Linked DNA regions of Nothobranchius furzeri. The protein of the gene in region 6 purifies or fractionates together with the protein of the main gene of each other region. This does not show direct contact. Links are inferred from orthologs where the notes say so. Each region holds a gene or a part of one and is shown on either strand. Other genes may lie near its edges.

Region 1 (4,127 bases), on a different chromosome or scaffold from region 6:
TCCTTTTTGTAATTTTTTTTTAATCTGAGAGACAAAATCGCCTCTTAGAGTTGAACATTCCGTTTCTCCTCCAGGACACTGTTTATAGTTCTGACTGAATTAAATACAGAGTCAAATGTGACATTTTATTTCACGGTGAAGACAACAGAAGACAAGTCTTGCCTTGCTGTGCATGACCTGCTACTCTCCTTCCTAGCAAGAGGGTTATTTTCTCACTCTGCTTCCGGATGAATACTTTCTGATGTAAAAAACGAAGCGAAACAAACATCTGGTGAAGTTTTTTTTTCCCGTTGTGTTGTGCCCAAACAAAAGCGTGACCGTCAAAACAGAGGCATGTATCAAACCGCAACTTGGGATCCTGTAAACATTCAAATACAGTTCTAAAAGCTAATGTCTACATTTGCTGTTTTAAATATTAATCAATGTTTATCGTATCTATGATGAACGCTTATTACTCATTTTATTACTGAACTGATACACAGGCCGACATTATAAAAAAAAGGGGTGAGCTTCGCACGCACGACGTAAATCTGCAGTAACGGACTGAGTTCAGGTGAAGAGTCGTGCTAACTACCTAGCTAGCTACTGAAGGTATCCACGTGAGGAGTAAACTTAAGGGGTTACGTTTAGCCCCTATGTATCGATCATTTCCTCCCAAGTGGAGTCGGTTTACCGTCAAGATCACTTGGTCTATATGTAAACTGTGACACTTTAAAATGTCCTACCATTTCAAGCTTTGGTTTCTTTTCCATTTCTCCGGCCATGCTTCAGGCTTTTTCCCCCTTCTTCTTCTTCGGGTGTTGTATTGCGGGTGGCATACGTGCATTTCTGCCACCTACTGTGCTGGAGGGGGTCTATCGCACTCTTGATGGGTCACACTGATCAGTCCTGAGTTGTTGATCCTCATCTTTGTCTGACAGGCGTAAAGCGCAAACAAATTTCTAAATTCTATTTAAATATTTTAACATTTGGGTAAGCAGATGTTCGAGTTCGTAACAAATATGTATAACTTTAGATTATTTGTACAAAAGTAGTTGTTCATTTTGGGTAAATAATTTGTTTTATTTGAGTAAACTACAAATACTTAAATTTATCTGAAAAAATAAAATACAGTTTTAGTCTGGTAGTTCTTCCTTTACGGTATCAACACATTATTGATCTGAAAAACGTCCACAAACCAATTTTATGGACGATTTGTTCGCCTGAAAGTCTTTCAAAAGGGCCAATTTAACGCACACCTTCTATTGCTGTAATCAGAACAGAATTGCGCATGAAAACATGTGACGTTGAACGTCACGTGTTTGTCTGAAAAGAATTGTAGTTCAATAACAGAACCAAATGCGTTAAAATGTGGCTTTAGAAACTACATTACCCAATAGTGGGTTGAGGTCATTTCCGGTTTTTTGATTTTGCTAGTCAGAAGTCACTCAAAAAGGATTAGCTAGCAGCTCAAACAGCTTATGTGGCTATTAAAACTCTACGAGATACTTTGAGCATCGCTGACACATTGAGGTAATACATTTATTTGTGTTTTCTGTGGTTGTTTGGTTTATTTTGTTACCATGACATAACGTAACATCACACCTCCCTAACGCAGCTGTGTTTTGTTGAACAACATTAGCTAGCTAGTTTTTCTCCAAGCTTTTGTTTTGTCTCTCTAGAAATTACTTGAGTTTAACACACGAGCTGGCGGCTGCTCGCCTGTATTTGAATATTTCAGATGAACACGATTTTTCTTATTTGTTTAAACAAGCTCCTGCTTGCCCATATGGCTTTATTGGCCCTAATATCCACCCATCTCTATACTTCCGTAATTTTACTGTCTACAGGTACATAGCTGAATCCCCCCAGCTGTTGCCATGGCAATCCTGTTTGCTGTGGTGGCTCGTGGAACCACTATTCTGGCGAAGCATGCTTGGTGCGGTGGGAACTTCCTGGAAGTCACAGAGCAGATTTTGGCCAAAATTCCTTCAGAGAACAACAAGCTGACCTACAGCCACGGCAGGTAAAATCCTAACGCAGTGCATCTGTCCAGAAGCTGTTTCAGAAACACTCTTGGTGACAGATCTCAATGACTTTCTCCTTTTTGTTTGTTTTTATAGCTATCTCTTTCATTACATCTGCCATGACAGAATCATATACCTGTGCATTACTGATGATGTGAGTATACAACAACGTTACCTGCCAAATAAGGATACTTATCTACTCACGAATATATAGTGTCACAGGAAAATGCATCTTTTTAATCATGTAGCCTCCTGATTTAGATTGAGTAGTTCTTTATGTCCTGCTTTAAAACAGCCAGACTTTCTCATACGCTTTTAAAGTTGGATGATTAATAATTCTAAAGTCTTTCAGGTTTTTTTTTTCCTTTGAACTGATTTCTGAGGATTGTTTTGGTTCTGTTTGTTAAGCTTTAAGTTATTTATCTGTGGCGTATAATTCATTCATGCATTAAAAAAGCCTTAGATACTAACAGGTGTTGTGTTGTGGTTTAACAAACAACTTGGCAACGGGCCAGTTAGGATCTTTAGGCACTTTGCTACCAGCAGCCTGCCACAGACACTATTTTTGTTCCCATTTATTTAGTATAATCTGTAAAAAGTAACACAGTGTTGCAGTTGGTAGCAGTGTTGCCTCGCTGCAAGGTCGAAGGTCAAAATCTGTCCTTTCTGTGTGTAGTTTGTATGTTCTCCACATGCATGTGTGGGTTTTCATGGATAATGCATTGTCCACTGAATCAAAACGTTCACATTAAGGCTGACTGGAGACTTTGTCCCTAGGTTTGAGTGAGTGTGTGACTGGTTGTTTGTCTTTCTGTGTGATGGACTAGCCTGATGACTGCTAGGTTAGACACCAGCTCCCGTGACCCTAGTTAGTTAGACCGAAGCGGTTCAGATAATGGATGGATCAATAACGAAATAACACTGAAAAGTTTACGTCCTGTCAGGTCTTTGATTGTTTTTAAAAGTATTTCTCAAACAAAGCTTTGGTACTTTACACCTGCTGTTCTTTAGGTCTTCTTTTGCCCATTGGTTCACATTCCTCATTTTTTCAAGAGCATGCTGCACAACATCCTGTCATGGTCAGGTATGAGAAGAGGAAATGAGTGGAGAATCTACCAAAGTCCAAAAGAACACTTTAAACGAGCGTCAGAAAGTCTGGTGGTTTAGTGATCAATGCCACTAGAAAACGTCAGTCTGCTTCCTTTCAAGCAAAAATTAAAAAGACAAATCTGTGTGTTTCAAAATGTTATTATTAAAGCAGAACACTCACACTGTTCCACCCTTTTTAGTGAATCTTGGTTTGTTTTAACTCACTTTATTTTTATTTTTTGGTGGCAGGACTTTGAGAGATCACGTGCGTTCAGCTTCCTCAGTGAAGTCAAGAAGCGTTTCCAAACGACGTACGGCTCCCGAGCTCAAACAGCTCTACCCTACGCCATGAACAGCGAGTTCTCCTCAACACTAGCAGCTCAGTTGGTGGGTGCAGCAAAAGGCTGAGGACATTCAGAAAAAAATTTGCAGACTAAATGTTAGTCAAACATTCAAGTATTATTATGAAGCGCGTTTAAAAATGGCTGTCACTGACCAGAGTCTTTAAGGGATATAATAAAAGAAATGAGTGAAATAGCACAAGACCATAAAGGTAGAGGAAACCAGAATAAAAGTGTAAAAGCTAATAAGGAATTTATGTTCAAGTCAAAGTCTCCAGAAAACCTCTCGGGGTGGGGGTGCGTTAAATCAGCTGTTTCCTGATCAGAAAAGCCCTTCACTGCCAGCGTTTTTCAGCGTTTTCACAGTTTTTTTAAGAGTCACCAAACATTCTGCTGTATGATGATGTCAGCGCCAAAACTATCAAAACAAAGCGGAGACTCGCCTCTCACATCAGGAAGAATCCGCGCGTTTCGAGCGTTATCCGTTCTTTCATAATCCGTTGTTGAACTGTGATCGGCAGAAGCTTTTCCGGTTCGCGCCTCACTTTTTTTACAGCAGCGGCCCAAAACGATCTCCTAACACAGGGATGTTCTGCTTCCTGATCACGTGACGTGTGAGGTATGCAGATGAAGATCGGCTTTAGAGCTGAGATGTTTGTTCTTACGGTGCGGGGGCTCGTCCGACGCCCAC
Region 2 (3,892 bases), on a different chromosome or scaffold from region 6:
CCTCTTCTGGATCATCTCTGCCAAACTTCTGACGGGCCTGGACATGTACTGGCATAAGCAGGTGGACCTTTTGAGCACGGCAGAATTTTAAATCTGTGATGACAAAGTGTATTACTTATGGTAACCTTTGTTACTCTATCTGCTTCCTCTTCAGCACATCCTGAGCTCCTTCAAAGGAATCTCCTACCATCTTTATGCAGAAGACATCCAACTGTACATCTCCTTTAAGCCCCATGAGACATCTCAGCTGCAGATGTTACACACCTGCTTAGACTCTATCAAAACCTGGATGGCTGGGAGCTTTCTTCAGCTGAATGAAGATGAGACTGAGATCCTCATCTGTGCCCCAGACAAGCTGGTTCCCAAAGTCAGAGACTCTCTTGGTCAGCTTACTTCTCACACCAAACCTTCTGTCAGGAATCTTGGCGTGACCTTTGACCCAGCTCTCATCCTGGATTCTCATGTCAGTTCTCTTGTTGCTCTTCCTTCTTCCATCTCAGGAACGTTGCTAAGCTGAGTCCCATTCTGTCTCGCTCTGAACTTGAGACAGTTATCCACACCTTCATCTCCTCACGCTTAGACTACTGTAACTCTCTTTTCACGTGTCTGAGCAGAACCTCCCTGAACCGTCTACAGGTGGTTCAGAATGCCTGTGCTCGGCTTCTGACCAAGTCCTCCAAACACACCCACATCACCCCGCTTCTCCTCCAGCTTCACTGGCTGCCAGTCAACTTCAGGGTTCATTTCAAGATCCTGGTTCTGGTCTATAGGGCCTTACATGGACAAGCACCATCTTACATTGGTGATCTTCTTAGTCCCTACACCTCCAGCAGGTCCCTGAGGTCCAGTGATCAAAGCCTACTGGTTGTGCAGCACCAGGCTAAAGACCAAAGGTGACAGATCATTTGCTGCTGTGGCCCCCAGACTCTGGAACTCTCTCCCCCTGAGCCTGAGATCAGTGGACTCAGTGGTCTCCTTTAAAAAGCAGCTGAAGACTCACTTGTTCAAGCTGGCTTTTGTATGACCTTCTTCACCACTCTCTTTATTCTGCTCTCCCCACCTATTCCACCTTCCTCAGGATCCACTGATTTCCCTCTTTCCTATGCATTTTCTCTTTAACATTTTTTTAATCACAATTGTCAATTTTTTGCTCATTATAAATAAATTTTCAATCATTTTCTCAATAATTTTTCATTTAATTTCAATTCCACAATTGTTTTTGTGAAGCGCCTCGTGATCTTCATCTTGAGAGGCGCTATAGAAAAGATATTTTCTTCTTTCTTCTTCTACTGTGGTTCCAGGTCTCTTCAGGTCATTGACCAGTGTGCCCCCCCCCCCCCCCCTCCCCTTTCCAGGTTCAGGGAGATTGTATTTTTTCCCTCATTTTTTAAAAATTGTAGCAAAAGCTGATCCCTTCTCACCAAGCAGCTCGCTTATTGTAGGTTGTCTCGTCCCCGTCTTGCGCAGGTGTGTAATGTTGTCCTGGGTGTCGTTAGACGGCTCTGTGGTCTTGGCCATGGTGGAGGTTGGAGTCTGAATGTTTGAAGGTGTGGGCAGGTGTCTTTTATACAGAGAATGGGTTTAAACAGGAGCCATAAGTTGAGGATAGAAGAGGTTCTGTAAGGGACAGAATTCCTTGTTGCTTATTTTCTGCACCATTACAGCAGTAAAAGTCATACAGTGTGATTTATGTTTATATTCTGTCTCACAGCTGAAATGTAAATGACATTATGATGACAATTACAGATCTCTTTCATCTCTTAAGGGGGACATCTTGCACAACCAGTGGTTGCCAGATCCATTTGTGCCCTTCTGACGGTGAGATTGTGACGTTCCTGTTGGATTCTTAGGTGTTAAACTTCATGTCTGATGTGCAGGATAACCAACGACGCTCGAGAGGATGAGATGGAGGAAAACCTGAACACGGTCGGCAGCATCGTCAGCAACCTGAAGGACTTGGCAACAAATATGGGCAACGAAATCGACAAGCAGAACGTGCACATCGACAACATCACTGAGAAGGTGAGAGCATTTTTAAAATTTTAAATAGGCACAATAGTAATAACGTAAAATGTTATTATTGTTGGTGAATTCTTCTGTTCATCATTTTACTCCTTTGGAAAACAAACAAGGAGTTAACACCTGCTGTAAAATGACACTAAACACAGCAGTTGTTTCACATCAGCGCTGTAGAGTGAATGAAAGGTGCATCATCACAGGAGAGTCCCCAGTGGTCCCAGAAGAACCCCACTGTGGTCTAATACCAACCTCCATCTGTGCTGAGGCACGATGCTGGAAGCATCACATTACAAACAGTTTGGGGGGGGGTGACGACAAACCATCAGGACAACTCTGGACCAACTTCAGGACGTGTCTCTGCCTGTCCTGCAGTGGCTCAGCCAAAGCCAACACTTTAATCCCTAAATCCCGCCAGTGTGCTGATTCCTGAGGACGGCGGTTCGGAGTAGCTCTCCATCCAGCCTCTGGGATTTTAGGATTATTTGCCTGGAAGTATGAGATGAACCGGCCAAACGCGGAAGCTGGATCAGGACTTTTCCAGGAGACTTCTTGCTTAAGGTGTTCAGTCGGAACACTTTAAAGAAATGGCAATTTTATCTAAATTTGAACAACACAATGAAATGTGGAGGAGAATCGTTCCAGACTTTTGCTTTTCTGATGTTTGTAAATTCACATATTGAGATAGTTGGTCATCTGATTATTTCATTAGATCAGCAACCTTCCTCTGTTTATGTTTATGTATTTAGCAGACGCTTTTGTCCAAAGCGACTTACAAGTGATAATCGGCGTGTTGCCCTTGAGGCTAATAACAACAATTACAACAACAACAACCAATTTCCAGTCAGTCGTAGGTGGCAGTGAGGCAGCATGATGAATCATGGAGAGGAGGGAACAAGGAGTGGACAGTAGAGAGGGGGACGGGTGCAGGGAGGGTGCTAGTTTAGAAGATGCTCTCTGAAGAGCAGGGTCTTCAGGAGTTTCTTGAAAATCGAAAAGGAAGCCCCTGTTCTGGTAGTGCTTGGTAGGTCATTCCACATTTGTGGAACGATGCATGAGAAGAGTCTGGATTGTCCTGAGCGTGGTGTAGGCACTGCTAGCCGACGATCCTGTGATGACCGGAGCGGCTGGGCCGAGACGTAAGCCCCGACTCTGTGCTGCTTGATTTCAGGAAAACATGCAGATCCGTGTTAAGATGTGCGTTTGTGCAGAGAAAAGCTTTTGAAAAGTTATTTAAATGTGTTTGCAGATTCCTACAACATGACAGTTTGTTTACATCTTCTGTTTTCTCTCCTTTAGGCCGAGTTGAACAAAATACGCATTGACGTAGCGAACGACAGAGCCAACAAGCTCATCAAATAAACACAGAATCCTGCTCCTGCCTGTTTCCTCATCACGTCCTGTTGCTACGTACATGCACATTGTACACTTCTGCACATGCACACACACCTTTTCACTGTTTAATGAGCTGGGTCCTGGAGACGGCGGCGGCTGCATTGTGTCGGTGACAACCAAAGAGGGAGCGACTGAGCGCCCAGCACAGAGTACACACCAGGCCTGTGACTACATATCACATGATATTCACAAAGTCAGCTGTTTTCTTATTCCTGTCTGTCTGTCTGTGTGTGTGTGTGTGTGTGTGTGTGTGTGTGTGTGTGTGTGTGTGTGTGTGTGTGTGTGTGTGTGTGTGTGTGTGTGTGTGTGTGTGTGTGTGTGTGTGTGTGTGTGTGTGTGTGTGGCTACTGAGATGCTCTCATCACAGCTAGTTTCTAAAGAAATCCAAACACACAAACCCGATTAGTTATCCCGCTCACTTCCTCCTTTTGTTCCATCGTTAAATGTATGGTTGTTGTTTTGAGTTCATATTTAATTATTC
Region 3 (4,250 bases), about 24 Mb from region 6:
CAGCTACATCTGTCACACATAGCACAATGTTTTCTATTCATTAGCAAACATTTTTTGTTGCGGCTCAGTTCTCACCAGATTATAAACTTGATGGTGCCAGCCACTCGGCACAAAAATTATTTCACCTGCCTCTTGGATAATTTCAAGAGGCTGGCATGCTTCTTCAAACTGTGGGAAAAGGTTTCCATCCTGAAGCTCAGCTGATGTGACATCATAAGGGAGGTTGCCATGAGTGTCTCGTAAAAAATCCTCTTGACCAGGAGGATAAAGCAGCCACTTCTTCCTACCACAAATGTTTGCGGACCAGCTGTAGGAGCGGAACACATCGGCGTGGAACGGAGTCCTGGACACAACAAAAAGGCAGTGGATCGAATAGAATAACGAAACATTAGTATATTATGAGTTTTACCTGTATTGTTTTATCTTTTCCATACCATGAGCCTTTAGGTCCCATGTAGACAAAACGGTAGTCATCCACCTCCAGTGTATCCCAATATTCATTAAGCCAGTCAGAAGAGAAGAAGACTGGTGTTGTGTAAACATTATGTTCAGGAAAGTCCCTGTTGCATAATATAAAAAGGAATTAGGAAAATATACAGTAACCTGAACTATGTCAAAACAAAACATTTAAAATAATACTGCTATTAAAAAATAACTGAAAAAAAACCCGAATGCATATGCGCTTAGAATGCACATTTGTAATTTTCTATGTAAATAGATCATACAATTAAATTTTTTGTTAATAAATTAGAATGAACAAAACATTTAAGATCAAACTTAATTCGTGTCAGGTCAATACACACTGCTTATGACCCTTGCAAAACGGTGTTATGTTTGTTCATTTAGCAGATCAGGTTACCCAGCATGCATGTTTTAGCCTTTATTATTGTGAAATTCCTTTTTATATATTATATTCTTCACATTTTAAAGCTGTGCAATAGAAAAACGCATGCACCATACCTTGACATATGCCAGTCTTTCAGATAGAGACATCCTTTGGGTGAGGAGTGTCCATTTTGAATGTATTCCTTCCAGTAATGTATAAATTCTTTAAAAGGCATTACTTGTTTGGGGTTGGCGTTGTATTCCTTTGCATTGCAGTTTGCAACAGGGACAGGAGTTTCATCTGTGAATGAAACATAAGCGTAAATACGCGTGATTTGAAATCATGGTGCATGCAAAATTAAATGTATTTACCAAACTCTTGTAGCAGCTTTTGGAAATTAGGTTTACCCTCCTCAGTCACCCACTGTTTTCTGCACTTCCAGCCTTCTGTGAACTTTCTCGAGAACATGCATGGGTGATTCGCTAGCAGGTATTTCTTGAAAAATTTGGAATAGCTCAGGTCCTTGTCGATGTAGTCTACAAAATGCGATGACCAGAACAGTTCGTAGGACTGACTTGGTATTTTGACCAGGCTGCAGCAGTTGCGGTACGCCTCTCTGTCCATGTTTGTAAACAAGAGCCCGGCTAGCTGGTTAGCAAGCTAGCTAATGATGTTTCTCCTTGTTTACTGTATGGACATCCAGAAACAGACAGAAAAAAAGACAGAAGAATAAAAATGACATTGGTGTAAGTAGGTCTCATTTAAGGCCAAACTAAATATAAAATAAACGATTTTTCATATACAAGTTACTCCGACAACAGGTCAAAGTCCTATGGTTCCCTAGCATCGCAAATATATCAGCGCAGTTTCTGTTTATGTCAAGTTTCGTATACCAACGTTATGTTCAATTATCATGCAAATATTCCGCTTAATTCAAATCGTTCACACACCGCACTCGATTAGTGTTTGAATGTTTTAGTCTCAACCGGAAGTGCTTAAGTCGGACAATAAATCCAACCGTACCGGTGTGACGTCACTTCCACGATAAACAGCTACCAAGAAGAATGCGAGGTAACGTCATGTTTTACTTGTTGGCGGTCTTTTAGCTGTGGGGAGGTTTCTATTTTACGAGCAGGAAGTTGCAAAGATATATTAAAGTTCAGTTGTCTTAAATTCACTTTGGTGATGCGGATAAATAGCTTAACCTGTCTGCTTGAACGTGTCATCTGAGCTCATCTGCTGCATGGCTTATTCTGAAAAAAGTATGTTCACTACCAAGGCACAAACAGGTCCGTCAGTTATGATATAACTAAATAAATATAAGGGAATCATCTCCATGTGAGCGCTCAGTCCTGTCTTTCTTTGTACCAGGTGGAATTTAACATTTCCTCCCTAAGATGAGCCGGGACGTTCCCATCCACAGCTGGCCTGGCTCCTATTACATCAACAATGAGAAGCGGTGGGAGAGTGGAACCCTGTCCCTCTCCAGAACCATGGTGTGCTTTGTTTCAAGCCTCAGCAAGAACTGTCTCGTCAGTTTCCGTCTGTCATGTATCATCGAGATCAAGATGGAGTCGTCTAGTTTCATCTTCAGCACCCTGACGGTGCTTGAGGAAGGCAACGTGAAGCACTGGTTTGGTTCCCTTAAACCCAACCGAGTGGTTGTTTATAATGTGTTGGAACATTTCTGGAGAGAGCGTCTTCTGTCTCCCACTTCAGAGGCTCAAGGGGCTGAGTGCCAGATTTCTAAGGGGAGAGAACTGATCAACCTAGTGACGGGGGCCCAGAGACGATTGGAGGACACGGGCAGAGTCCTCAGCCATCAGGGAGAGCAGTTTGACAACATGATGCAGGGACTGGAGAAGATTGACTCCGATCTGGGCGTTGCTGACAAGTAATTATTCAAAAGTCTTTTTAGAATTGAGTTTTGCTCTTTTATGTCTTGATGATGCTGCATTTATTTACATGTGTTTCTCAATACTCTGTATTGCAGACTTCTGTCAGAACTGGAGTCCCCACCCTGGTGGCCTTTTGGCAAATTCCCATGGAAGGCTCAGCAAGAGGCCAAGGCTGAAGACGCTGCCAGAGCTGCAGCTGTCCTCTCAGCAGGCAAGGGTTCCAGCAGGAATAAGGTGATCACAAGCATCCCAGCGGTGGTGTCCAAAGGTGGAGACTCTGACTTGAAACCTGGATGTTTGCTAGTGCTGGTGTCCTCACTGGAGGTGCGAGACACAAATTGCCAACTCCTACACAAATTCGAAAGGAACGAGATTGATGAAATACGGGTGTGCAATTCCTATGAGATCACAGTGAGACAGCGGTTCATTGGGAAACCAGATATATGTTACAGGTTTCTTTCTGCAAAGATGCCAGAAGCCTTGTCTGTTTTGGAGATGCAATACAAGAAGAAGGTAGAGTTTACAAGTGAATACACCACTTTCAAGGCAACTCCATGTTCATCTGTTTGTGGCAAAGAAGGGACACACTGGAGAGAAGGTAAGAACAGTCAGGTGAATCTTTGTGTATTACCCATGCTTATTCTACATGTTACCACCGGGTGGCAGCAAAGAGCATATTTCTAAGCAACCACATGTTAAAACATTTCATCATGGTTATTGGTGTTTCTCTTTCACAGAAATGTATTTTGATGAGTCACTTCACCTTGACTGCTTTAGTTGCTGTATTTTGAGTTTACTGTCTGGTTTACGTATAAACAACACACTGCTTGCACTTCACACTTCCTCACCATCTCCACCCATGGAAATCAGGTTTACGGCAGACGAGCCGAGAGTCTGAGCTCCCACTGGAGGTCCCAGCAGGTGAGCTGTCCCAGTTGCAGGTGCAAGCCCTCCAGCCATCTGTCAGTCAGGCTGAGGCGCAGGAACTCAAGCAGGTGAGAAACTTGGATTTTCATAGCCGGTTTAAAAACAAAGTAGCACTGCTGCTGCTTTTAATTTGTGAAAGAAATTTGTGTAAAGACTCCAGATTCTGTTGCCTGAAGCTATTTTCACCTCCTGCTGAATTCTCTGTGTTGAAACATGGTGCAGCTGAACCCCAACTGATACTAAAACAAATCAGAAAGTTAAAAGATCAACACTGTTGGACGAAAAATAATCATATTTGTTGTTCAGTAACAACAAAGCCAGGTCACCATCTTGTAATTTCATAGCATCCTTTAGCTTCAGTAACCCACACCAATAATCACTCTGGTTATAGCTCTTTGCTTTGCATCCAAAGACATTAGCATACTTCCAGGCTCCGCCAAGAAAACGCAAAATTCTTCTTCTTCTTGTGTTTTTATTAAACTGAAAATGCTAACTGCTAGCCTTTATAATAGCTATCCCCCTACTGCACCAACCCACACTAGTATTTGAAAGCAATGGCTTAAATAGTTAAAAACTGTTTAGTGTTGCTATTTCTGTTT
Region 4 (2,274 bases), on a different chromosome or scaffold from region 6:
AAAACAAGCAGAATTGGAAAATAGCGTTTTTAGCCCCGTTGACTTGCATTTATTTTATTTCTCGTTCTTCTGGGGCCCCGTGGTGCAGAAGTAGATGGGTGTGACTTGGGCTCCCTGTACGGTTACTTGTGCATGTTTTTTAAAAACAAGTTCATAAAAGTGAGAGGGGTTTCAGTAATGTAAATGTGTGTTTTAAATTTGATTTTAAACAGTAAATTTAGATTTTCAGTTCCTTCAAGTCAGTTTGTTTGAGCTGAGGAAAGCACCCTGTTATCAGAAAGGTCTTTATGTGTTTTAGCAGCCGAGGCCCTGCTGGGACGAACACAAGCTGAAGCTTCCGCCTTCAAGGAAAACAAAACTTAATTTGCTCTCACTGTTGTTTTTATTGTAACCAGGCCCGATGGTTTGATGCCTGAAGCTGAATGAGTGTCCGTCTGTCCACACAGATAATAGGAGTCCGTCTCTGTAAAGGAACCCGAGCAGGACTTAGTCACTCGACTTTTGCTGAGAGGGAACAAACCACTTTTTGACATTTTGGCTTTCCGACAGCAGATTCTGACCAAAGCAACAGAAAATGTCATTAATGAGGCCGTTTAGACCCAGCAGGGCTTTACCTGTCCCTATTGTGACCCGTTTTTGTCTTGTGTTGGGATGGCAGGAGATGAAAGATCAGCTGTCCAGTCCCTCTGCCGTTGCTCAGGCTGAGAAGAAAAGTAAGCAGGTGAGAAAACCCTTAAATGCAGAACACACACACACACACACACACTTTGTAAAGATTCAGCTCCCTGTACGTCTCTGTATGTTGGAATCCGTTGACCGTGTCTTCTGTTTGTGTTTTCGGGCTGACGTCAAAGGGCCAAGAACGATCAACAGGACTGGAGGCTCATCTGGTGTCGGCCAACTCCAGATACATTCAGGAGCAACAGGAGCAGCAACAGGTAGATGGATGAGAGGAAGAGAAGAAGCTCGAGTATTAAAGCAACATTTAAAACGGAAAAAAGCTATATAATAAATGGGGGGTGGGTACCTTTGTGTGTTTTTTGTGGGAATTTTAGGGTTTAAAATGATAATTCTGCTGAATGAAGGGGCTGAGGTTCTATAGAAGTTGGTTACTGCTGCTAAATATGTCTTAAGGCTTCTATATCATGATTTAATGATAGTTTTTTTATGCTCATTTTGCGTTTTGGCTTTTATTTTTATCAACTAAATAATGACTGAGTGCCATGAAACTGAGTTCTTGGAGAAAATCCTATTGAATCTGATTTGTGAAACGTTTAAATCAAACAATCCAATCACAATAAAGCTTGGGAGTTAATGCTAGAAAGCAAGAAAACGATCTTTTATGTAGCGCCTCTCAAGATAAAAATCACCAGGCGCTTCACAAAAACCAAAAAATGTAAATACAAAAAAGATTTAAAAAATGATTGAGAAGCATGTTTAAATGAGGAAAAAAATAGTGATAAAAAATGTAAGGAAAGGGAGAGAAAATGCGTCGGCTACGTGTCGAATAAAGATGATCTGAGCGCTTTGGGCTCATTCTGCAGGTTAGCATGGCTCCGTGTTCTCTCAATAAAGAAAAGGAGTCTTCTGCGTCGGGTTGAATGAAGGTTTAGTTTGTGCTTCCTGTGCTGTGGGTTGACTGCAGTGGTGAGTGATACAAGCGTCCCGTCACACATCCTGTCAGGTTGTGGGTTTTGGTACAAAATGAGAAGAAAAACCCAACAGCTAGTTCAAACCTTTGTGATTTAACAACAGTAATATCTTTATTTCTTACTGATTTTCTTTTTCTGTTTGCGGCTCGTTGATTTGGTGTGAAACGATGCAGACCTCATGTTTTCAAATTTGCGCTGGTCTGTAAATATGAGAATGAAGAAGTTTGAAGTTTCAGGGTTTCCTCCAGACCTTCATAAGCCCTGCTTTTTACCCCGCCAGGCCAGGCGTCCAAGTGCCCGCCCTCTCCTGGTAGCAGAACAATCCGAGCGCAATCCCCCCTTCACGGACGAGGCATAGTAGCAAACGACCCCCCCCCCCCCACACACACACACACACACCCGCGCTATCACAGTTCGCTGGGCTTAGCAAGTTTTCTGGGGGGAATCCTGAGTTTTGAACGTGTGTGTGTGTGTGTGTGCGTGTGCGTGTGCGCGTGCGCGTGCGTGTGTGTGTGTGTGTGTGTGTGTGTGTGTGTGCGTGTGTGCGTGTGTGTGTGAAGTTGATAATACAGGAGCAGGATGAACAGCTGGATTTGGTGACGGGCAGCATCAGAGTCCTAAA
Region 5 (2,304 bases), about 17 Mb from region 6:
CTCTTTAATTTCACCTGAATAAAGTATCTTATGTCCTCAGACTGATAGAGCCTTTAAACCTGGAGAAAGCTGTTGATCTTTATCAGAAAGCAGCTGGTGTGTTTGAGGTGAGAATCAAATATTTTCCTCCTCTACTGTTTTTGTTTTCCAAGTAGTCGACATGTCTTTCTGTTTATCATCTGCAGAACGAAGACCGTCTACGTCAGGCCGTGGAGCTGCTGGGAAAAGCCTCCAGACTCTTGGTCAGGTTAAAAAGGTAAAGGAGACAGACTGATGGCATGTTGAAGGTTTCCCTCCTAAAATTCAGTCACAGTACCTGTTCTGAATCGCCCTGCTCCCCCCTCTTCTCTCCCTGATCAGGCTGGATGAAGCTGCAGTCGCCCTGCAGAAGGAGAAGAACATGTACAAAGAGATTGAAAACTTTCCAATGTGTTTTAAAGTGAGTTGTTTTGCACATTTAATAACATTTAAAACTTCCTGTTGACTTGTGGCTAAAAGTCAGAAATTAATCTGCTGGCTGGTTCATCAAACACATTGATCACTCCTTAGTATGATGTTCCAAAACTGTGATCTCAGACCAGAAATAAGACGTTTTGTACTCTGTTTTGTTAGAAAACAACCGCTCAGGTCCTGGTTCATCTCCACAGAGGCGACTACGTTGCAGCTGATAAATGTGTCAGAGAAAGTTACAGGTAGGACTCCGAACCTCCTGCTTCCCCCTCAGAATGTGTTTCAGTCTGGCTGCTTCCACTTACCGTAAATCACACGTTACCGGTAATTTCTTCAAGTCTGCCTGGATACAGCGGGAGTGAGGACTGTGTTGCCATGGAGACGCTACTGCAGGGCTACGATGAGCAGGACGAGGATCAGGTTTACCGGGTGTGCAACTCACCTTTACTCAAGTACATGGACAATGATGTGAGTAATACAAAATACTTTCTTTTTAGTTTGATAATTTTGGTCAAGGTTCTTTGGATCAGAGACCTGCAGCCAAGTTTTAAACTAGGGATGTCCTGATCCGATCACATGATCGGAAATCGGCCCCGATCACGTGGTTTCAGACTGATCGGGACTCGTGCTTTACTTCCCGATCCAAGCCCCGATCCGGACTTGGATACTGGGTTCAAATTAGAGGAGGGCAACTTGGTTCTCCTTAAAGGTTGTCAGGCTTCCCTGATGCCCTTAACTTACACAGCCAGAAGGAGCACAAAAACATCCAGTTTCTACCTATTTTATATTATTTATATGGACTCAGCGTAGCGGGGATTCTTTGAGCAGAGATGCAGAGAGCGGCAGGCAGATTGCTGATTATTCATGAACTCCAGCTGCGTTCTGCACACGGCCACAGTAACATTTTCTAAGTTTCTAAGTGGCGTCACCAAAAAATGTATCATTAACACACAGTCATTCGTGTCCGTTCATTTTCTCTCTGGTAAGTTCTGTCTGTATTTGAGCATGACGTGTGGACGTGCTCGCGCTGCAGCTGCAGCGCTCGTCACTGGCGCAGCCGGGCAGCACGGCGCACACTCCGCTTTTTTGCGGTCAGTAGATCAATTTGATCTGCTAATTAAAAAGTTACTTGTGAGATGAAAACGAAGGAAGCAGGCAGGAGTTTTTTCTGGAGGAAGATCAGAGACAGACGGGACAGGAAGAAAGGAAAATAAAAACCAAGAAAACAAAACAAAGTTCTTAAAAAAATAAAATGTAGGTAGATTTGTCCCACTACACGGTTGTACCTGTGTGAAGCAATAATTTATCAGCATGTAGTATTTATATAGCTGATACAATTCAGATCATCTTCAAAACTCCGTCCCATGCCCAGGGACGTATCTAAGCATTTTGGGGGCCGAGGCAAAATAAACCCCTGCCAGGTATTTTAAGTTGAAGTGCTATCTGTTTTTATATGAGACTTTTTATATTTGCAATGAAGTCCAAAAGTGAAGATTTATGTTATTTATTACTTGATTGTTCAAGCTACCTCACAGAAGTGATCTGTTGTTAAAAATTAATATAAAAAGGTAATTAAATAAACAATAAGGAACATTCTGCAACAGTTTCTTCCTTTTCTTTCTTTTTTTTTAAATGAATCGAAAGTATCGGATCGGGACTCTGTATCGGCAGATTCTCAAAATCAAATGACTCGGACTTGAGGGCAAAAAAACCTGATCGGGACATCCCTATTTTAAACTTGTTATATTTTGTTTCTGTGAAAGTTTTTATTAGTTTTGCAGGACCGTGACCTCTCTGTGATGAGAAATTTGAGCCTGGAAAGAATAAATAGATTTTTTTTTTTTTGTTTTTATT
Region 6 (4,102 bases):
ATTTGCAGTAATGTGACGTCATCGGCAGTCGAAGGACCCCGAGCCGATCCTGTACCGACACCGTGTCCTCTACATCTGGATTTTTCTTCCAATCAGATTTCAGCCTCTATTGATGCCAGGGAGAGTCCAATCTGCCCAAAGCGTTCAGAATCAGTAGAACGGGCCTTTGTTAGTTATACCATATAGTAGTGGTAGAGTGATTTATCGCCCAATGCCAATATACAGTATCTCCTTAGTAAAGCAGATTTAAAGTCAGGCACATCCTCAGGCAGCCTGGTGCTGCTGCAGAGTTATGTTCCTGAGTAACTTCTGCATAACAAATAATTTTGTTTGATTCACTTGAGTTAGATGTCTGATTTTAACACTGAGCCGTGCACAAAATTAAGGTTTAACAGTTGGTTAAATTACAAGTTCAAAAACTGATTTAGCTTCAGAAATTTTGTGTATCAACTGATGTCTAGATATCGGCCATCAGCTGACCATTAGCTCTGCTTATCGGCATCAGTAATAGAAAATCCAACATTGGTTAACCTCTACTATGGGATCTGGTTTTTTTAACCAGTGAGCTTTCAGAATCACATCGCTGAGCCAGGTAGTTGGCTCACGGTGACATCAGGGGTTTTTTGTCCTCCGATTGGTCCGACGGTCTGAGAGAAGCTATCTCTACCAAGTGTCGCTAGCAAAACACATTCTTGTGAGCCATGCACATTAATACTTTTGATGTTACTTATTTTTTATGCCCACAATGGCTGATGGAACGGGATGAATGGATTTGGTCTCAGGAAGTATTCCATTTTCAAGTCGTACTTTCTCAGAAAAGCTGGACATGCTAGCCCGCTGACGGAACTAAAACACAGAAATCAGCTTTATATCACTTAGGTTTTCCTGCAAAAAGTGAGAAGTAGGGGTGCACCGATTGCAGTTTTTGGCCAATCACCGATCTTGAGAAAAACCTGACTTGCCGATATCGATTTTGTCTTAACGAAAAGCAAATTATATCAATGTTTCAATTTCCTGTCATTGAGAAAACCAATACAATACTCATTAAACAATACCAGTTTCAACTGGACATGAGGTAATGTTCTCAAATGTAAATTAACATATTTAGCATTGTTGTTTGAACTACAAAATCATATTTGTTCCTTTAAGCCAGGCGGGCACTGTGCGACTCTTTCACTTTTTTGAGCCGATTTTCCCCTCGTGCGAGAATCTACAAGATCGGGGCAAGTTTTGTGCAGAGCGTCGTGTAGTATACAGGTGGTTACGAGAGGCAATTAACACCACGTGACCAGCTACCTATCAGCAATCGTGAGCTCGCACTGATTTCTGGCATGTTTGATATTTTGCTCGTCCCTCGTGAGGGTTGAAGCAGCGCTGCGAGTGGCTGCAACCCAAAAAGTACCAAAACCGCTCACGGCGCATGCGTCATGCGTCAGCACGGCTTGCCAGCTATTTCTCTATTAACACATGTCGTTTGTTTTTATTTCTACACTGTTTTTCACACACAATGACAAGAAAGCATGTTTGCCATGTTTATGTCAAATTAAACAGTTCACAAAACACTGATTTACTTTCTTTCTTTCATTATCCTCATCCAACCCCCATAAATCCCTGTGTGTACTCCTGCAGCACTCCAGAGGGACAACAGACATCAGTAACAACACAAAAAAAAATTCCCCTCATAATTATTAGTAATTGTTAATAATAATTAAGTGACACCACACCCTGTTACATACTCACTCCCCCCTTATTATTAAATAATTTTGTTGTAAAACGAGAAACTGATCATTCATCAAGAGACCTGCTGTTCACACCTCTGAAGAAATAACATTAAAGAAGCCAAAAAGACTGAAGTGCGACCCTGGAGAGATGATGATCAGTGGATAATACCGTGGGGATAACAAACAGGCTATAAAGCTCATTCACATGGTCATCACGTGACCATGTGGCATGTGATTTCCCACCAGGCTGAAGCGCGAGGAACAGGAGAAACCTCTTACTGTTCTGTGTGATCTTCTGGATGTTTGAGCTGCAGGACTGGATGAGAAAGCTGAAGTCCATGTGAACCGGGCGGAACTCCGCTTTTCCGTACATGTTTGCGACTGTTAGGAGCTTCCTGACACGTTAAACTGGAACTGCAAAAGAAAATGGAACAATAAACATTGCATTATTGAACGATTTGGCTTAACGACATAATGGTTTAAGTAAGTTTTAAGGGTCTAAAGATTTAAACTCGTTTCCCTTTTTGACTCTGTCACGCGTATGAATGACGTTTGATTATTTCAGTAATGAGCTCAAAGGTCCAATCAAGTCAGATTATCACTTATTTATCACCGCTAAGCAGTTAAACTAAATGTAAATGTAAACAAATGTCCGAACACCGAGTTAGCGAACAGACCAGTTTGCTGTTTAAACGCCTTTAAATTAACCCCATAATTAATCAATAACAATAAGGAACGGAACACTTCAACAAACCGTCGTATCTGTTTAGCTCAGCTAGCGTTGTGTTGGTAGAACGGAGAAGCTAAACCTTCGTTTTAGGCTAACGGTGGCGAACTTGTCTACTTTCGTCTTTTTACAGTAAAAACTGCTCGTAAACTGGACACGCAGAGCGTGGTCAATTAAAACAAAGACGAAATTCTACATTAAAACAAGGCATCATGCTGTAATTTGCTTACTAATGTATTGAAATCGATACATGGGCGTAGATGACTCGTCCTCCGTTAGGTTGATGCTATATTGCATTAGCGCTAAGACCTCACAGACCAACACACCCTAACAACCAATACCAGGATGCTACTTCAACAGCTCAACCAATCACAATGCAGCGTCCCACCCATTTTATCACGGCCTCCAATCATAGGTCAGAGAGCCAAACCTACTTCCTGGTCCGTGGTGTTTTTTTAATTTATTAATTTTTTTTACAGGTTTTATTCAGAAAACACATTCAATAAATCCATGGATCACATTTTACAGTTGTTTAGAATTGCAATAATATACATGCAACATTAGGAAACTATTAAACAAAAAACCAAGAAATAAAAAAAACTGACGAAAACATATATAACTTAGAAACATAACACTTAGGGGTCTGCTGTGTCTAAGTTGAAATGATGAAATAAGTTGATGGTCTTTGTTAGTTTGTTGTTCTTCATTTTTAATTTTTCAATGCTGTTCCAATATTTCATAAGGTCTGTAATTCTGAAATTATAGAAGGGGATACTTTTCTGAAAAATCATTTTATGTAAATAATATTTTGCTAAAATAATGACTAAGTTAATTATGTATTTTTCATTGGATGATAAATGAGGGTTAGTAACAATAAGAAGTATTTCATATTTGCTTAAAGAAATATTTTTTTTGTAACTTTTTGGAAATGTATCTTTTTAAATGGAACCAAAACAAAGTTACATGAAAGCAATCAACAAAAACATGTTCAATAGTTTCTCCCTTACAACCACAGAAAGTACATATGTCAGAAACATTTGGAAAAAAATACAGATGTTTGCTTTTGACGGGTAATATCTATGAACAATTTTGAATCAAATTTCTTTTATCTTATTCACAATAACATATTGGTGAGGTAGCAGAAAGATCCTGTTCCAGAGTTTTGTATTCATAAAAGTCCATCAGTGTTTACATATCGGGGTTGAGACAGGATCAATTACTTTTCTAATAACAGAATTATTAAATTTCTTATCTGTGATTGGAATCCCAGAAATAGTTGGAGGTCTGGCTGTTGCAGATAAGATGATGTTTGATTGTATGGTCTGTGTTAAATAGAAAATACAAACATAGATGGATTTAATTACCATGTTATACTCTTCTTGTGAAGTATTAATGTTATATTTTTCTAAGAAGACTTTGTGGGATAATGTTTCGCCATTAGTATTTAGTAGATTATTCACAGTGTTTACATTGGGGCAGCAGTAGCTCAACAGAGCGGGTTGTCCAGTAATCGGAAGGTTGCAGGTTCGATCCCGGCTCCGGACAGAGAACTCTGCTGTTGTGCCCTTGGGCAAGACACTCAACCCACCTTGCCTGCTGGTGGTGGTCGGATGGACCGGTGGTGCCTGTGCTCGGCAGCCTCGCCCCTGTCAGT
Region 7 (4,241 bases), on a different chromosome or scaffold from region 6:
CCTGTTGCCACGGAGCCCAGATCCTGATCAGATTTTGCGTTTGAAATTAAATGAACATTTCCACAGTTGGAGAACTCTGGCGTCCTTGAAACGTGAATCATCTCAAGTCGTATTATTAGCGGGAAAGGCATCTGGAGAGTAATGTTTCCCCTCTCCACTTCAGAGTGTTATATGAGTCTGAGGTCACATGAGCGAGGGATGGTTTGTTTGTGGTAATTAAGGTACAGAAAAGGGTAAAGTTCCACTGATGTTTCTGTTTTCCACTTTCACAACAGATTCTTTCTGAGAAGACGTTGAAAGCCCCTACAAGGGTGCCATCATCCATTAGAGCCTCTAAAACAACGAATCAGGGCATCAAAAATATCTGGAATGAAGCCAAAACCTGGCCATTTTTGAAAGCTTAACCGCTCTCCAGGGGAAAAGCTCAGGTCTCAGAGGACGATCTGTTTCTCGAAACTTTTTAAAATGTTTTTTTTTCTGTTTCACTGAAAGCTGTTTTCCTTGTTTAGCTCTTGAAGATTTGTTGCCCGCTTTCAAAGTTGGGCTTTTGTTCAAATCTTCTGCAGTTTCTGTCACATGCTGATGACTTCTTCCTGGCTCTTCATAGTGAGCTTTTTGAATGCTTTTGCAGCAGCATTATTGGATTATCTAGGTAAACATGTTTTATTTTCCTGTTTTTTGCACCATGATCCTGTTTTGCCCAGAGATTCTCAGACGTTTATTATGACACGCCTTATTTGTATTTGGAAGTGAATCCAAAGTAAAAACAAGCTGGTCAGAAGGAACGGAATAATCAGATTACAAATGTTACCTTTTCTTTGAAACTGCCTCATATGTGTTACACCAAAATGTCAAGAAAGCCTGTTCCAAGAAGATGTCTGCTGTTTTGCACAACCTGTGTGTGTTTTCATTCAAACAGAACTAGTGTTTGGTTATGAAACATAAAACATCTACAAGCACTCATCTTATACACCCCATGTAGTGGAGCTAAAATTTACCATTTTGCCCCAAAGGAACTTGTTCTGCTGCCCTTCCACTGGTTCTTTGTCACATAGTAAACAAACACATACTAAAAGAAAGAGCTCGAGAACAAGAAAGTTGAAGTGTAGTAAACCAAACACATTAACAGGCAAGTAACATATTTAACTTATGCTAATGTTGCTTATGTTTAATTAGGACTCTTGTTGAAACTCTGCACCATATTCAGGACCACCTTTAATACCTGCGTTAATACCTGTGACATCTTTAACCCTTCCACTGTGCTAATGGGTGTGACCCGCGAGGAAAGTTGACCATTGAGCAGGGTTGATGGTTTATCCCTTGGGTCCATGTGGCAGGGGTGAGGAGTGAGCACCACCTCACCCCAGCCACGTGGACCTCAAGGGATAAACCATCAGTCCTGCTCAGTGGTCAACTTTCCTAGCGGGGTCACCCATGAAGACAGTGGGAGGGTTAAACGTTGAGCTGCTTCTCTCTGGTTAGCAGGTCATGATATTCTGCCTCCTGGTAGCTTCTGACTGCATTCTGATGGGAGAAGGTTGAGGTTAAATGGTTGATTTAATGGTGTTTTTGTATATTTAATAATTTATTCTTAGTTAATTCAACTGGTAACTTGCTTATTTATTTCTTTTTGTTAGTTAGTGGGTTTTGATTTTCTTTCTGGAGTACATTGGTCCTCGCCGCGTTCCGTAGTGACGTCGCATCCAAAACAAGTGAACGCTACCGGGTTCGGTTTGTTGGTGATTTAAATTCTGCTCTGCTGGGGTTATTAGTTTTTTTTTTTGTCACAATGTCTCAGGACCCCTGGTAGGTAAACCCTTCCGACGCTAAAACAAGTCGTCTCGGGTTTGTTTTGAACTGCATGTTCCGTTTCTTCGCCTGGAATCTGATTTATGTCACAAACCAGCGGAGGCGCTAGCTAGTCCCTTATCGGCGTTAGCCGCTGGATAAATCTATTACGGCTGTGTGTTGGTTTATTCTTAACACAGGTCTTTTTACGCAATTCAAATCATAAAAATGGAGTAATACAGGAACTGTGATGTCATAAATATAAAACAACTTTAAACTGCATGTTGTTAGAGAGGAAAGCGGTGCAGTCAGCTGCTCTCGTTGATAAAATCTTTCCTGTTTTCGTCATGTGAGTTAGTGTCAAGGAAGTGGCTATTTCTATCGGTACAGGTAACCATGGTAACTAACATGTTAACACATATGTCTGTAGTTTGGGCACTTTTAAGTGCCCCAAATTTCTGTAAAATTAAAAAGATTAAAAAAGCTGGGAGCTCTTTAAATGTAGATTGTCAAACATCTAAAATTACTTAGATGACGATAATTTGTAAGTCCGTGTACCAAAAATGTGTACGTTTTAATCCCAAACTTTGGCCACGTTTATAGTTTAATGGACTTTTCATTGTTTTAATCCAAGATATGTAAATGTTGCTAACCTATTCTTAGCTTACTTACTCGGTTCATGAACACAAACCCTGTAGAGTTGTGTTATTAAACACTACGAAACCATCATGTCCTTAAACCTACTTTTATGATCTGGCTTTTAATTCTGTGAGTTAGCAATTGTTAGTGTTTTATATTTTGTAATTCTCATTTGTGGTTTTAATTATGTCTGTAGCGTTGTATGTTTTATTGTTTTACTCTTTTGTTGTACAGCACCTTGGTGGCATGCTCATGACTGTAAGGTGCTTTATAAACAAAGACTGAGTTGAGTTAAACGGCAGCAAGTGATTTATGCTCTGGACGTTTTTCTACCCTGCTAGGTTGCAGAATTATGATGCCACTTGTCGCCTGGCACAGGAAGTTGCAGAAAACATTCATGAAAGGAACAGGCAGCAGAGAACAGGGGGGAACCCAGCCAAGGTAATTCTGCGTGTCACCTAAATAGACCCGGTGGAGGCTTGTTCAGCACTGATCCTGTGATCTGACTCTGCAGATTAACATGACGCTACGGGCATCGCTCCAGAAACTAAAGCAGAATATTTCCCAGCTCAGAGAAGGCTTGTTGCGAATTTCCTCATCCCGACGCATGTATCCTTTTCCCCAACAATGTGACCAACTCCCAGAGTCATGAGACTGAGATTTACAGGCAAGCCTGAAGTCTTGTTTATGATTGCGGAGACACTCATTGGCCTGTAGATGGCAGTAGAGTTATGTTAAATGGAACCTGAAAAATGAAACCTGTCAGAAACTTCAACTTCCACCATTAAATCAACCATTTAACCTCAACTTGCTCCCATCAGAATGCAGTCAGAAGCTGATAGGAGGCAGAACCTTATTGATGACCTGCTAACCAGAGAGAAGCAGCTCAACGCAACATTCAAAGGAGATGCCACAGAGCCCGAACCTACTAGGTATTAACATCCTAAAGGTGGTCCTGGATATGATGGAATCTAAAACTTCTATACAATGAATATGACAAGCAGAGTATGGAGATTGTACATCTATTTTTATTCATAATGTCCTAACTGTCCACATTTTATTGATGTTGGTAAAAAAAAAACTTAAAATACAGGTTAATTAATTAAAAATCTTGTTTTTACATGTAGATTTCAGTCTAATATGTTGATTGGAGGTGAAAGGACTAGTTTGTATTTACAGCAGGTTTGCCCCACCAGAGCTCCGTTCACATTTTATCAGGATTTTTTAGGATGATTAATCTGGTACGTCACTTCCCTATCCTGATGTGTTTTATGTAATATTTGTTCTCCCTACCATGGACGTAATTTTCACTTTAGAAGTGTGTGTGTGTGTGTGTGTGTGTGTGTGGGGGGGTATCTTTACAGTATGCTCTAATGGGAAACAGACTTCAAAACAAACGGTTGTTTTCCGCTTGGTCCTAGAGCTCAACCAGTGTCAATGTAATATAGCGTAATGTTGTTTTTGGGTGGTAAAAAGTGCAGGGGTCAAAACTTGACTTTGGAAAAAGTGGGGGGGGGGGGGGGGGGGGACATGTCCCCCCTGTCCCCCCCAAAAATTACGCCCATGCTCCCTACATTTCTCTAGGATTAGGAAAGTTCTTGTTCCGAACTTGCTATGTTTAATTTTGTTATTTTGTGACCTTTAAAAGCTTCACTCTGTGGCTTCTCAGTTAAAGACGCTACTGGTCAGTGAGTTTCTCCGGTAGTCTTTGCGTATCCATGGTGACCCCTGTGCTGTGACCTCACTGAGTGCTATCACTTGGACAGAAATCTGCTCATCGTTCTGACAGCTTGGCGTCTAATTCCTTTGTTTTA

What was found.
Region 1: the proteins of stx12 (region 6) and sybl1 purify together in Homo sapiens (affinity purification with mass spectrometry; 3 studies listed by BioGRID and IntAct, counting the BioPlex papers as one, with this or other methods). This does not show direct contact. The link is inferred for Nothobranchius furzeri from reciprocal best matches to the Homo sapiens genes STX12 and VAMP7.
Region 2: the proteins of stx12 (region 6) and synaptosomal-associated protein 23 purify together in Homo sapiens (affinity purification with mass spectrometry; 3 studies listed by BioGRID and IntAct, counting the BioPlex papers as one, with this or other methods). This does not show direct contact. The link is inferred for Nothobranchius furzeri from reciprocal best matches to the Homo sapiens genes STX12 and SNAP23.
Region 3: the proteins of stx12 (region 6) and snap47 purify together in Homo sapiens (co-immunoprecipitation; 3 studies listed by BioGRID and IntAct, counting the BioPlex papers as one, with this or other methods). This does not show direct contact. The link is inferred for Nothobranchius furzeri from reciprocal best matches to the Homo sapiens genes STX12 and SNAP47.
Region 4: the proteins of stx12 (region 6) and stx10 purify together in Homo sapiens (affinity purification with mass spectrometry; 3 studies listed by BioGRID and IntAct, counting the BioPlex papers as one, with this or other methods). This does not show direct contact. The link is inferred for Nothobranchius furzeri from reciprocal best matches to the Homo sapiens genes STX12 and STX10.
Region 5: the proteins of stx12 (region 6) and napgb purify together in Homo sapiens (affinity purification with mass spectrometry; 3 studies listed by BioGRID and IntAct, counting the BioPlex papers as one, with this or other methods). This does not show direct contact. The link is inferred for Nothobranchius furzeri from reciprocal best matches to the Homo sapiens genes STX12 and NAPG.
Region 7: the proteins of stx12 (region 6) and stx8 purify together in Homo sapiens (affinity purification with mass spectrometry; 3 studies listed by BioGRID and IntAct, counting the BioPlex papers as one, with this or other methods). This does not show direct contact. The link is inferred for Nothobranchius furzeri from reciprocal best matches to the Homo sapiens genes STX12 and STX8.

The regions. Positions count from the first base shown.
Region 1 is NC_091741.1:28,141,947-28,146,073, forward strand, and holds the start of sybl1 (vesicle-associated membrane protein 7), read left to right. Parts: upstream 1-1,327; 5' UTR 1,328-1,512; intron 1,513-1,829; 5' UTR 1,830-1,859; coding exon 1,860-2,005; intron 2,006-2,102; coding exon 2,103-2,160; intron 2,161-3,344; coding exon 3,345-3,482; intron 3,483-4,127. Other genes in the region: polr1d (DNA-directed RNA polymerases I and III subunit RPAC2), read right to left, coding at 726-764. UniProt on the Homo sapiens protein: Involved in the targeting and/or fusion of transport vesicles to their target membrane during transport of proteins from the early endosome to the lysosome. Required for heterotypic fusion of late endosomes with lysosomes and homotypic lysosomal fusion.
Region 2 is NC_091758.1:23,397,493-23,401,384, forward strand, and holds the end of synaptosomal-associated protein 23, read left to right. Parts: intron 1-1,877; coding exon 1,878-2,022; intron 2,023-3,315; coding exon 3,316-3,378; 3' UTR 3,379-3,392; downstream 3,393-3,892. UniProt on the Homo sapiens protein: Essential component of the high affinity receptor for the general membrane fusion machinery and an important regulator of transport vesicle docking and fusion.
Region 3 is NC_091751.1:49,578,117-49,582,366, forward strand, and holds the start of snap47 (synaptosomal-associated protein 47), read left to right. Parts: upstream 1-1,450; intron 1,451-1,766; exon of another isoform or gene 1,767-1,897; intron 1,898-1,908; exon of another isoform or gene 1,909-2,115; intron 2,116-2,197; 5' UTR 2,198-2,223; coding exon 2,224-2,720; intron 2,721-2,819; coding exon 2,820-3,322; intron 3,323-3,594; coding exon 3,595-3,995; 3' UTR 3,996-4,250. Other genes in the region: 2-oxoglutarate and iron-dependent oxygenase JMJD4, read right to left, coding at 76-343, 435-560, 961-1,126, 1,198-1,450. UniProt on the Homo sapiens protein: Plays a role in intracellular membrane fusion.
Region 4 is NC_091744.1:1,410,056-1,412,329, reverse strand, and holds part of stx10 (syntaxin-10), read left to right. Parts: intron 1-658; coding exon 659-721; intron 722-854; coding exon 855-938; intron 939-2,212; coding exon 2,213-2,274. UniProt on the Homo sapiens protein: SNARE involved in vesicular transport from the late endosomes to the trans-Golgi network.
Region 5 is NC_091751.1:42,362,737-42,365,040, reverse strand, and holds part of napgb (N-ethylmaleimide-sensitive factor attachment protein, gamma b), read left to right. Parts: intron 1-40; coding exon 41-107; intron 108-185; coding exon 186-256; intron 257-360; coding exon 361-439; intron 440-612; coding exon 613-692; intron 693-788; coding exon 789-918; intron 919-2,304. UniProt on the Homo sapiens protein: Required for vesicular transport between the endoplasmic reticulum and the Golgi apparatus.
Region 6 is NC_091751.1:25,527,620-25,531,721, forward strand, and holds the start of stx12 (syntaxin-12), read right to left. Parts: upstream 2,801-4,102; 5' UTR 2,679-2,800; intron 2,604-2,678; exon of another isoform or gene 2,476-2,603; intron 2,136-2,475; 5' UTR 2,095-2,135; coding exon 2,001-2,094; intron 1-2,000. UniProt on the Homo sapiens protein: SNARE promoting fusion of transport vesicles with target membranes. Together with SNARE STX6, promotes movement of vesicles from endosomes to the cell membrane, and may therefore function in the endocytic recycling pathway.
Region 7 is NC_091747.1:69,890,227-69,894,467, reverse strand, and holds the start of stx8 (syntaxin-8), read left to right. Parts: upstream 1-1,441; 5' UTR 1,442-1,789; coding exon 1,790-1,806; intron 1,807-2,768; coding exon 2,769-2,868; intron 2,869-2,941; coding exon 2,942-3,036; intron 3,037-3,248; coding exon 3,249-3,359; intron 3,360-4,241. UniProt on the Homo sapiens protein: Vesicle trafficking protein that functions in the early secretory pathway, possibly by mediating retrograde transport from cis-Golgi membranes to the ER.